3 linked regions of the Saccharomyces cerevisiae S288C genome follow. Changing the gene in region 1 together with any one later gene gives a genetic interaction. Each region holds a gene or a part of one and is shown in the gene's direction. Other genes may lie near its edges.

What was found.
Region 2: mutations in CRF1 (region 1) and CDC50 impair growth when combined (synthetic growth defect), as found in Saccharomyces cerevisiae (one study listed by BioGRID).
Region 3: of CRF1 (region 1) and IFH1, extra expression of one rescues a mutant of the other (dosage rescue), as found in Saccharomyces cerevisiae (2 studies listed by BioGRID).

What each region holds. Positions count from the first base shown.
Region 1 is NC_001136.10:910,224-913,982, forward strand, and holds CRF1 (Crf1p), read left to right. Parts: upstream 1-1,875; coding exon 1,876-3,279; downstream 3,280-3,759. Other genes in the region: YDR222W (uncharacterized protein), read left to right, coding at 1-1,078. UniProt on the Saccharomyces cerevisiae protein: Transcription factor, corepressor with FHL1 of ribosomal protein genes. May be involved in the blocking of the spread of silencing.
Region 2 is NC_001135.5:284,762-288,520, forward strand, and holds CDC50 (aminophospholipid translocase regulatory protein CDC50), read left to right. Parts: upstream 1-2,000; coding exon 2,001-3,176; downstream 3,177-3,759. Other genes in the region: CCR4-NOT core subunit CDC39, read left to right, coding at 1-1,682; OCA4 (Oca4p), read right to left, coding at 3,409-3,759.
Region 3 is NC_001144.5:583,816-587,574, reverse strand, and holds the start of IFH1 (Ifh1p), read left to right. Parts: upstream 1-2,084; coding exon 2,085-3,759. Other genes in the region: UCC1 (Ucc1p), read right to left, coding at 2-1,111. UniProt on the Saccharomyces cerevisiae protein: Transcriptional coactivator that together with FHL1 regulates the expression of rRNA and ribosomal protein genes. Its activity is negatively regulated by environmental stress.

The sequences.
Region 1 (3,759 bases):
GACAGATGGTGGTAGAGGTTTATTCAGAGTGATGAAAAAATCGATGGAGACCAGAGTCGAGACCCAAACGTTATATTTCACAGATTTGCATACAGGCTTGTGTGGATTTGTTCAATTACTGTATTCTACGGTTATGGGTGGTATCTATAAAGGCTTCCAATTGAATTTCAAGGTTTTTGGCTCAGAAAGTAATAATACTGACTACGACGTTTGGGAAAGTTTTAAATTGGATGACATAGCTGAATTTCAACCATTAAAGTTTGTCTCTAGAAATGTTATTTTTGAATTTTTGAGCAACAAAAATGAAAAATTAGGTTCCATTGGCCAGTTATCTATCAAATGTGATTTACCAACATGTAACAATACAATTCAAAATTTGAAAATCGATTTGTTGGTGGATTTGTTTCAAGGTTTTAAGATGAACCCCAACGGTTGCAATTATTATTTTGACAAACAAATCTCGATGAGTGACGAATTCGTTTCCTCAGACAAAATGATCAGACATGTTTTTGTGCCCAGAGGTAAATGTAATGGTAATATTTCCTACGATAAAAAACTCAATAGTGGGGACTTTCAAAATAAAAATATTTCATTAACTGATGTTCCTGTCGTTTATCTGGACGCTGTTCAAGGTCTTTTGCCGAATAAAGCAGCCAGTAAATGGAATTTCCTATGTTTTCAGAGCGAAAACTACTCTGTTTTAGCAATTGAATTCACTACTCCTCGAGATCATGATAACGTCACCGTAACAGTTTGGTCAATTACTGAAAAAAACAAACTGATATCTATTGGTTCTTCTGTGCAGAGCCCAAAACGTCATGTTAGGTTCCGTGCTACGAGTACAGATAAGGAAAGCGGCTGGGTATATCCAACCTCTATCAAGTTCCCCGGTGGATTTTCAGAACACGACTTGAGGCTGGTTAATCGATACGACGTTCTCGGTGAGTTACCAAGCATGGTCAGGTCGTTAGCTCAGAAAATTGTGAGCATCAAACCTTTCATTTATCAATACTGTCAACCTTCTAAATATAAGCACGAGAAAGGTATTTCTATCGTTGAGAGCACCTTCATTAGTTGAACAAAAGCGTGAACACTTCCACATGAAATTCGTTTTTTGTCCTTTTTTTTCTCTTCTTTTTCTCTCCTGTTTCTTCTACCAACTTTACCTAATAATTAATGTGTAATCGAATTTTTTTACATAATCACTACCTAATAACTAATTTATCATCACTTTTTTTTTTCATTTTGAGGCCACACTTTCCCCCATGGACTATTGCATCATTGCGCCATGCTTCTTACTTGCGTAAGCCATAGAACGGAAATATCATGTTCCCCTTGCCGCATGCATATTGAAAACATCACGGGAACGAGAAGAATGGCATTTTCGAAATAAAAAGAAATCATATTTCAAATGTTGGGGAGAGAAAGCAAAGGGGAATCAATAATCATTAAGGGAAGTCGATGAAAGTTTCCTTTTCCGAACTCTACCTCGCCTTATATAAAACCTTGGTCTAAACGGATAAACCGAGATGTAGTTGAGTTTGTGAATCCAGTTCTTGTCCTTCTTCCTCTTTCAAAAAGTGAAGCAATCAGTTGAGAGTGTAGCTATAGAGGTGTGTACTCTAGAAATCAGACTTTCATAGCAAGCAGACTTTTTTTTTGTTGAATCTTACTAGCGGATTTTTTAGAGTTTTCTTCTTCGGACTAATCTGTCAATGGTTCCAGTAAGATTAATGAGTCAAAAGCCCTCTATAATTGTATCGAGAAATTTCTTAAAAGAAGGAATATAATTATTGCGGTCACTAGAAAGTTATAAGAAGGTTACCATTTAACTGAACAGCAGCGGTATAGTACGGAATAAAAAAGTCTTTTAAAATGTTGCTTAGTGCGCCTGTTAACAGTACCGTGCGGCGCAAGCCACACAGTCCAAATAAAAAAAAGCCAAAAGAGACAGGTACAGCTGCTTCCTTTTCGTCGTCCTCTTCAACTGTCGTCCTTTCATCCAATAATGATGGCAGCTTTGATGCTCTTTGGGACCCCTCTATAAGTAAGGCCTCGGATTTTGAGAGTAGCTATATTAGTGCTAAACGATTAAAACCAGAAAGTAGTAATAGACAGAAAAAAAAAAATTCTTATAAATATTCTAGGGAGGAAAACACCAACGAGGTAGAGGAAAAGACGTCTCTTGGCAGCAGCTCTAAGACAGAAGCAGATAATATATTTAATGACCAGCTCACGTCAGCTGGCAATACTACATATGTCAGTAATAAGCGCGATGTAAACTTCGGGGCGAATTCGGCTGTAGTACTGCTCGGTTTGCCAACAAGTAAAAGTGAATCTCACCGACAATACCACAGTCCTTCGGCTTCAACAACTAATGAAGATGAAGAGGACATTGGTGTTGATATTTTAGTAGACAACCACATCGATAGTTGCGAAACAGTATCGATAAATAATAATAGAGGTATTACACACCAATATCCAGAAACGGAATCAGATGTCGACTTTGATGAGGCCGTGATATTGACACCAATGGATGGTACGGATAAGGGAGTGAAAAATCCAAGACCACTCGAAAAAAAATATAGTAGCAGTTGTTTTGAGGACCGTACGCCCCTTAACTTGGATGATGGTCATTTCAGTGAATGCAATCATTTTTCTACATTAGATGTGTCTAGCTTTTTTCATCTCAACGAGCATGTGCATAAAATCGACGAAGTAGAGCTCGATGGACCTGATCGCACCTTTAGTCTAGACAACGTCGCTATTAATACAAGGAAAAAGGATATTGATTGCCTCTATAATAGTTCAAGAGAAGACTTATCCAACCTCACATGTTCTTCGGAAGGCCCAAGGAATGATAGTTATGATAGTGATTACAACATTGATGAGGTCACTTATAGAGATGATGAATCAACAGATGAAGACGAGAGCTTACCAACCCCAGATCGAAAAAGGAAGAAAATTGGCCATAAAGCTTGCGAAATATTGGATTCTAAAAGAATTGGAATAAAAGTACCAAAGTTATACGTTTGGTCTTTAAGTGATAAACCGTTTAGTGTTATCGATGGGTTGTGCACAAAATCGCTGTACCCATTGAGTGATGACATAAATACTCCTGAAAGTTTGAGCTCATGCTCAAGCTCAGTAAGTTCACGGGAAAATCAAAAAGGAGATGCAACATTTGATAATGATGCTATGATAGCCGACCTTCTAAACATAGGCGGACTCGAAGTAGAGAAGGCATCCAATGGCCATATTGAGCTCATAGGCGAGTGATTATTTGATATTCCAGAAGAATCATTATCGTCTTTTAAAGGAAAATATGATCGTTTGCGAAAAAATAGAAGCACTTTACTACTTGAATTGTCATAGAATAGTAGGAAAACCTACTTAGTCAGCGAAGATCAACTTGGAATATCGTATGATGAGATGGAGAAAAATTTAGGGGCCGAAATGGATGGATCCACTTGAGAGAGGATCAAGGAATACTGAAGTGCAGCTGACGATCCAGTCAGCGACATCTGTCTTTTTTTAATTACTATTGCTGTGTACTTATAGAGTCGGTGGCATTTATTTTATTTTTAGTATTTTTTTATACGTGCGTATTCTATTGTTCATTTTTTTACCAATTTTTTTTTTATTTTTATATTTTGTTTCTTGCGTGGAGTTTTTACAGGAAGTTAATCACAACAGAGGGTTCAATCTCCAAGGCATAAAATAAACAAAAATTGTAATAGTTAGCAACTGCAATACGAA
Region 2 (3,759 bases), on another chromosome or scaffold:
TCAAAGAGTTCGAAGATACTAAGATAATGCCAGTGAGGAAAGGTACCAAAACCACAAGAACAGAAAAGCTTTACTTAGTATTTACGGAATGGGTAAAATTACTTCAAAGAGTTGAGAATAACGACGTAATCACAACTGTTTTTATCAAGCAATTAGTCGAAAAGGGTGTTATCAGCGATACTGATAATTTACTTACATTTGTCAAAAGTTCTCTTGAGCTATCAGTTTCTTCATTCAAAGAAAGTGACCCGACTGATGAGGTTTTCATCGCTATTGATGCTCTAGGATCGCTAATTATAAAATTGTTGATTTTACAGGGTTTCAAAGATGATACAAGAAGAGATTACATAAATGCAATATTTTCTGTGATCGTTTTAGTGTTTGCTAAGGATCATAGCCAAGAGGGTACCACATTCAATGAACGACCATATTTCAGACTATTTTCTAACATCTTATACGAATGGGCTACCATCAGGACGCACAATTTTGTTAGAATATCTGATTCCAGCACTAGGCAGGAGCTGATCGAATTTGATTCTGTATTTTACAACACTTTCTCAGGATATTTGCACGCTCTGCAACCATTTGCCTTCCCTGGATTCTCATTTGCATGGGTGACACTATTATCACACAGAATGTTATTACCAATTATGCTAAGATTACCCAATAAAATAGGTTGGGAAAAGTTAATGCTTTTGATTATCGATTTGTTTAAATTTTTGGACCAATACACAAGTAAACATGCAGTCTCTGACGCTGTTTCGGTTGTTTATAAGGGAACACTGCGTGTTATTTTAGGCATTTCGAATGATATGCCATCCTTTTTGATTGAAAATCACTATGAATTAATGAACAATCTACCTCCAACATATTTCCAACTAAAGAATGTTATTTTATCTGCTATTCCTAAGAATATGACCGTTCCCAACCCATATGACGTGGATCTTAATATGGAGGATATTCCAGCATGTAAAGAACTACCTGAAGTCTTCTTTGATCCTGTAATTGATTTACACTCATTGAAAAAGCCAGTTGACAACTACCTACGTATTCCCTCAAATTCATTATTAAGAACAATACTAAGCGCTATTTACAAGGATACCTATGACATAAAAAAGGGCGTAGGCTACGACTTTTTATCTGTTGATAGTAAATTAATTCGCGCTATTGTATTACATGTGGGCATTGAAGCTGGAATAGAGTATAAGAGAACTTCTTCAAATGCGGTATTTAATACGAAGTCTTCTTATTATACTTTATTGTTCAATCTGATTCAAAATGGTAGCATCGAAATGAAATATCAAATTATTCTGTCTATTGTGGAACAATTGCGGTATCCAAACATCCACACCTATTGGTTCAGCTTTGTGTTAATGAATATGTTCAAAAGTGACGAATGGAATGATCAAAAACTTGAAGTCCAAGAAATTATTTTAAGAAACTTTTTAAAAAGAATTATTGTTAACAAACCACATACCTGGGGTGTTTCAGTTTTCTTTACTCAGTTGATAAACAATAACGATATTAATCTTTTAGACCTGCCCTTTGTACAAAGTGTTCCCGAAATTAAACTAATTTTACAACAATTAGTAAAATATTCCAAAAAATACACAACCAGTGAACAAGATGACCAATCCGCCACCATCAATAGAAGGCAAACCCCTCTACAATCCAACGCATAAAAAAACTGCATTTATTTATATACGAAAATCATGATTTCAGAAAAAAAAATATAACTTGTATAATACTATATTTCAGAGAATACTATTTTGAATAAGAATAGAAGCAATTTCGATTAACTTTTCTTACTGTATATGGGTCGCTTTCACTTTTGAACTACTGAAAATTAGTGTTACCCGTATTATTGTTTTGGAGAATAATAATAATAATGAGCATCAATTTATATCAAACAAGAGCTGCAATTACCTTATGTCCATGACGCACTGCGAACAAAGAATAATTGAGTAATCGAACTTGAAGTTCTATAGAACAGCTTGTATATGGTTTCATTGTTCAAAAGAGGTAAGGCTCCACCGCTCACGAAAGAAGGCCCCACTTCTAAAAAGCCTCCTAACACAGCGTTTAGACAACAAAGGCTTAAGGCATGGCAACCAATACTGTCTCCTCAAAGTGTGCTTCCGTTGTTAATATTCGTTGCATGTATATTTACTCCTATTGGTATTGGACTCATTGTAAGCGCTACTAAGGTACAAGATCTAACAATTGATTATAGTCATTGTGATACAAAAGCATCTACAACTGCTTTTGAAGATATACCAAAGAAGTACATTAAATATCACTTTAAAAGTAAAGTTGAAAATAAACCACAATGGAGGCTAACCGAAAATGAAAATGGCGAACAATCATGCGAACTGCAGTTCGAAATCCCAAACGATATCAAGAAATCCATTTTTATATATTATAAAATAACCAATTTTTATCAAAATCATCGCAGATATGTCCAATCGTTTGACACAAAGCAAATATTAGGGGAGCCTATCAAAAAAGATGATCTGGATACAAGCTGTAGTCCAATAAGAAGTAGGGAAGACAAAATAATATATCCCTGTGGGTTGATCGCTAATTCCATGTTTAATGATACATTTTCTCAGGTGTTGAGTGGTATAGATGACACAGAAGACTATAATTTAACTAACAAGCATATATCATGGAGTATTGATCGTCACAGATTTAAAACCACCAAGTATAATGCTAGCGATATTGTTCCACCGCCAAACTGGATGAAGAAGTATCCCGATGGGTATACAGATGAAAATCTTCCTGATATCCATACTTGGGAAGAGTTCCAGGTATGGATGAGGACTGCAGCCTTTCCCAAGTTTTACAAGTTGACGTTGAAAAATGAATCTGCTTCTTTACCGAAGGGTAAATATCAAATGAACATTGAGTTGAATTATCCGATTTCACTCTTTGGTGGCACAAAATCATTTGTACTGACTACAAATGGAGCTATTGGTGGTAGAAATATGTCACTAGGCGTACTGTACCTCATCGTTGCAGGGCTTTGCGCCTTATTTGGCATCATTTTTTTGGTTAAATTAATCTTCCAACCAAGAGCGATGGGTGATCACACTTATTTGAATTTTGATGATGAAGAAAACGAGGATTATGAGGATGTACACGCAGAGAATACAACATTGAGGGAAATTTTATAGAGGCCAAAAAACAAACTTTAGTGCCTGTAGGTATTTGTGTTTATAAGTAAACAAGTTTTGTTGACTTCCTGAAACGTAAACAAAAGAAAAATTGAAGTATGCCTTTTTACGCTTGGAAAATAGTGCGACAAAGAACTCCCAGGGTTTGCTATTCCCATTTAGATGATGAAATGATAGAAAAGTGGAAAACGTTTATCATGAAATCATCTATACATATACGTAAAAATGTAAACTATGTAAAAATATGTTCCCTATAAAAGTGATGCTCTTCCGGAACGTTTTCTTTTTCCCACAAATCTCGTTGAAACCTGAACCAATCTGGTAATTCAGAATCACAGGGTATCCTTATTTTGACGTTATCTTTTCCCCTTGCTTTATAATAGCCATAATCTCCATTTTCTTTTTTATTAAATGCTAATCTATACCTATGGCCAAAAATTCCTAGGTCAGAAGAGGTTTTCTTCAAATCGTCTCCTAGAACTCCACTTACTTGTAATACTTTATTATTTTTCACTTTGGTTTCGATTTGATTTATTAATGTCAAAAGCCGCTGAGGCACTTCTGGCTCTCTGCAAAGGTCATC
Region 3 (3,759 bases), on another chromosome or scaffold:
TTCATCTTCGAAGATAAGGGGTATTCCAGTTGGGCAATGCTATTTCTTGACCAAGATCTTGCTTTTGTTCCGGATGCTTGTAGACGAAAATTCTTATCAATTTGGATGGCTTGTAAGGTAAACCGTGCCCAATTATCGTGTCTCTAGGAAATGAAATTTTCTCTTCAGATTGTAAGCAGGCCAAACTCCATGCAAACTGGTATGAAAAAGAACATTCACTATAGTTGAAGATTGCTTCAATGCTATTTACGGGTTCGATTCTAAAGAGTAACCACGGCTTCGATATCTGATATGGAATAAAGTCATAACCGAGTAGAACTAAATCACCATTGATACAAACATCTGAATCTGTCCTGTCGATAGCTTTCAGTTCCAGGGGAAGATGTGTCGTTCCAGTGCCTTCAAAAATTTGCTCATCGTATAGCCTGGGAAGGTGGCCTAGGTTAACACAGTATATTCCTTCAGATGTTATCAATTCGTTGATATATCCTGCACTTGCCACGATCTGCTTCGGCCCATAGTTGCATATGCCTATTTCCGTAATAATTTTCGGTATGTATCTGGCAACGTGCGCATTTTTTACATAAAACCAAACGTTTACCGGTGTAGGCTCGTCCTTCCTCCTGGACCAAAAGTTAACAGGTAAAGCTGTCAACGACTGCATAAGAGTTCTTTCCTTGGGCCGACTATTAAAGTTACTGGTAGAATCAGAACCATTTGAATCTTGACTTTTGGTATATTTGTCCCATCCCATATTAATTATCTTTCCAGGATATTGCAGCGCATTGTATACAATATACCAAGAATCTGCGATGTATTTAGTCATGCACAGTGGCACATTAAAACCTGGTTCCTTCGTTTCTTGAATGATTTCTCTGGCATGCTGTCGAAGTGGGTCCAAACTCTTGACATATAAACATAATGAATGTTTGACAACGGCCCATATATAGTTGTCCTCAGCTATCCACGCCAAACTCTTCTCCTTATAGCTGTGGTTATGCAAAACGTAGAAGTATTTATTGACAGCACGAAGTTCATTAGGCACGTACTCTAGTAATGATAAATGTATCTCCAGTGGTAAATCCATCAAGCTGCTATCGCTCTGATTCATCTCTTGTTTGCACACTCTGTCTTCTTTGCGCCAATAGGCATAGTACAAACAAAAAAACGAGCCAAGCAAACAGCGGAAACTCTATTAAAGGTTATGCTACCTTCCGATAGTGATAATATTATGAGAAACTCCAATGTAGATCTACTTGTCTGAGATGGCCTTTGATAAAAAAATCAATCGAGTACGCAATAGAGGGGCAGAGACTTTGAAGAGCAAAAAAAAGAAAAAGGAAATTTTCAGTTATTGTTCCGATTTTTCCGTGTGGGGTTCGGGATGCCTAGTTGTTCCGTAATGCGATTGAAAGATACACTTAACTAGGAGGCTGCTAGTACGCGACCCCTACCTACGTATTGCAAAGATGTTTGAAGTATCAACGGGTGTAGAACTTTGCAATCAAGCAAAAGCTAGATAGTTCCATTATGAATTGTGACGATGTTACCCGTACTGCCTACTACATCTCTTTATACGGATTGAAATCTCTAAAGGTTGCCCTGCCCGTCGTTTCTTTTTCGTTGGAATTCTTTTTTTTTTTTTTTTTTTTTTCATCTCATCACTAAATTGATTTAAAGTACAACTAGGGAAAAGAGACTAGATAATAGGTGCTTTACACGTTTTGACGTTTAGCTTTTACGGCTCTTTAATTGACTTGCTGTAAGTATTTGTATAATCATTGGTAATATTTGAATACATTCGAAACACTTGCTACAAGAAATTAAAAGGAGGAACTCTTCAAAAGGCTATATTTAATTACTGCTTATTTATTACATTCCTCCCTTTCCACAATTCTAACATAGGACAAACCTATAATATTTTTTTTAACTTCGGTGAGCATCATAAGCAATAACCATTTCAAACATAGTAATATTCATTCTACGAAATTCATTTTCAAGCTTGTTGAAATTGAAGGAAATTCAACAAGGAAGCAAATAAACAAATAAGGAAAAAACAACCGGCAAACTGGAAACAGAACGAAATGGCAGGCAAAAAAAGTCCTCGAAAAAGTACGATCAATCATAGTACACATTCTGGTAAACTGCCAGCAAATATTAAAAGGCTCATAAAAAAGGGCGAATCCGATACAAAGTCCAGGCAATCACCACCCACACTGAGTACAACGAGGCCAAGAAGATTTAGCCTTATATACTCTTCTGAGTCATCCTTGAGTGACGTATCTGATTCTGATAAAAACAAAAGTACAAACCCACATAAAATTAAAAGAAAAGCAAAGAACATTTCAAATAATTCCCAAGGAAAAAAAAGTAAACTTATACAAAGGCAAATAGACAATGACGACGAGGGCACAGAGTCATCCGATTACCAAGCTGTAACAGATGGCGAAGAGAGTGAAAATGAAGAAGAAGAGAGTGAAGAAGAAGAAGAAGATGATGACGAAGACGACGACGACGATGATGATGACGGAAGTGATAGTGATAGTGATAGCGAAACAAGTTCTGATGACGAGAATATAGATTTTGTCAAACTGACGGCCCAAAGAAAGAAAAGAGCCATGAAAGCTTTATCTGCCATGAATACAAATAGCAATACACTCTATTCCTCTCGTGAGAACAGTAACAAAAATAAATCAGTTAAACTATCCCCTAAGAAAGAAAATGAAGAAGAGCAGAAAGAAGAAAAAGAAAAAGAGAAAGAAGAGCAACAAAAACAACAAGAATCAAACAAAAAAGAAGTAAACGGTTCAGGCACTACTACTACACAACAGGCGCTATCGTTTAAATTCAAAAAAGAGGACGACGGCATTAGTTTTGGTAATGGTAATGAAGGCTATAACGAGGATATAGGTGAAGAAGTCTTGGATTTAAAAAACAAAGAGAACAATGGTAATGAAGAAGATAAACTGGATTCTAAGGTGATGTTAGGTAACAACGATGAGTTACGATTTCCCAATATTTCAGAGTCAGATGAATCTGAATATGATATTGACCAGGATGCGTACTTTGACGTGATTAACAATGAAGATTCTCATGGAGAAATTGGTACAGATCTTGAAACGGGGGAAGACGATCTTCCCATATTGGAAGAAGAAGAACAAAACATTGTTTCTGAGCTACAAAATGACGACGAACTCTCATTCGATGGTAGTATACACGAAGAAGGGTCTGATCCTGTAGAAGATGCTGAAAATAAATTTTTGCAAAATGAATACAATCAAGAAAACGGATATGATGAAGAAGATGACGAAGAAGATGAAATAATGTCTGATTTTGATATGCCGTTTTATGAAGATCCTAAATTTGCAAATCTTTATTATTATGGCGATGGTTCAGAGCCAAAGCTATCCTTGAGTACATCTTTACCGTTAATGCTAAATGATGAAAAACTATCTAAACTAAAAAAGAAAGAGGCCAAAAAACGGGAACAGGAAGAAAGGAAACAAAGACGAAAGCTCTATAAAAAGACGCAAAAACCTAGTACGAGAACAACCTCCAATGTGGACAATGATGAGTATATTTTCAATGTTTTTTTTCAATCAGATGATGAAAATAGTGGCCATAAGAGCAAGAAAGGCAGGCATAAATCGGGCAAAAGTCATATTGAACATAAGAATAAAGGCTCGAATTTGATAAAATCCAATGATGATCTGGAACCATCCACTCATAGTACGGTCCTGAATTCCGGGAAATATGATT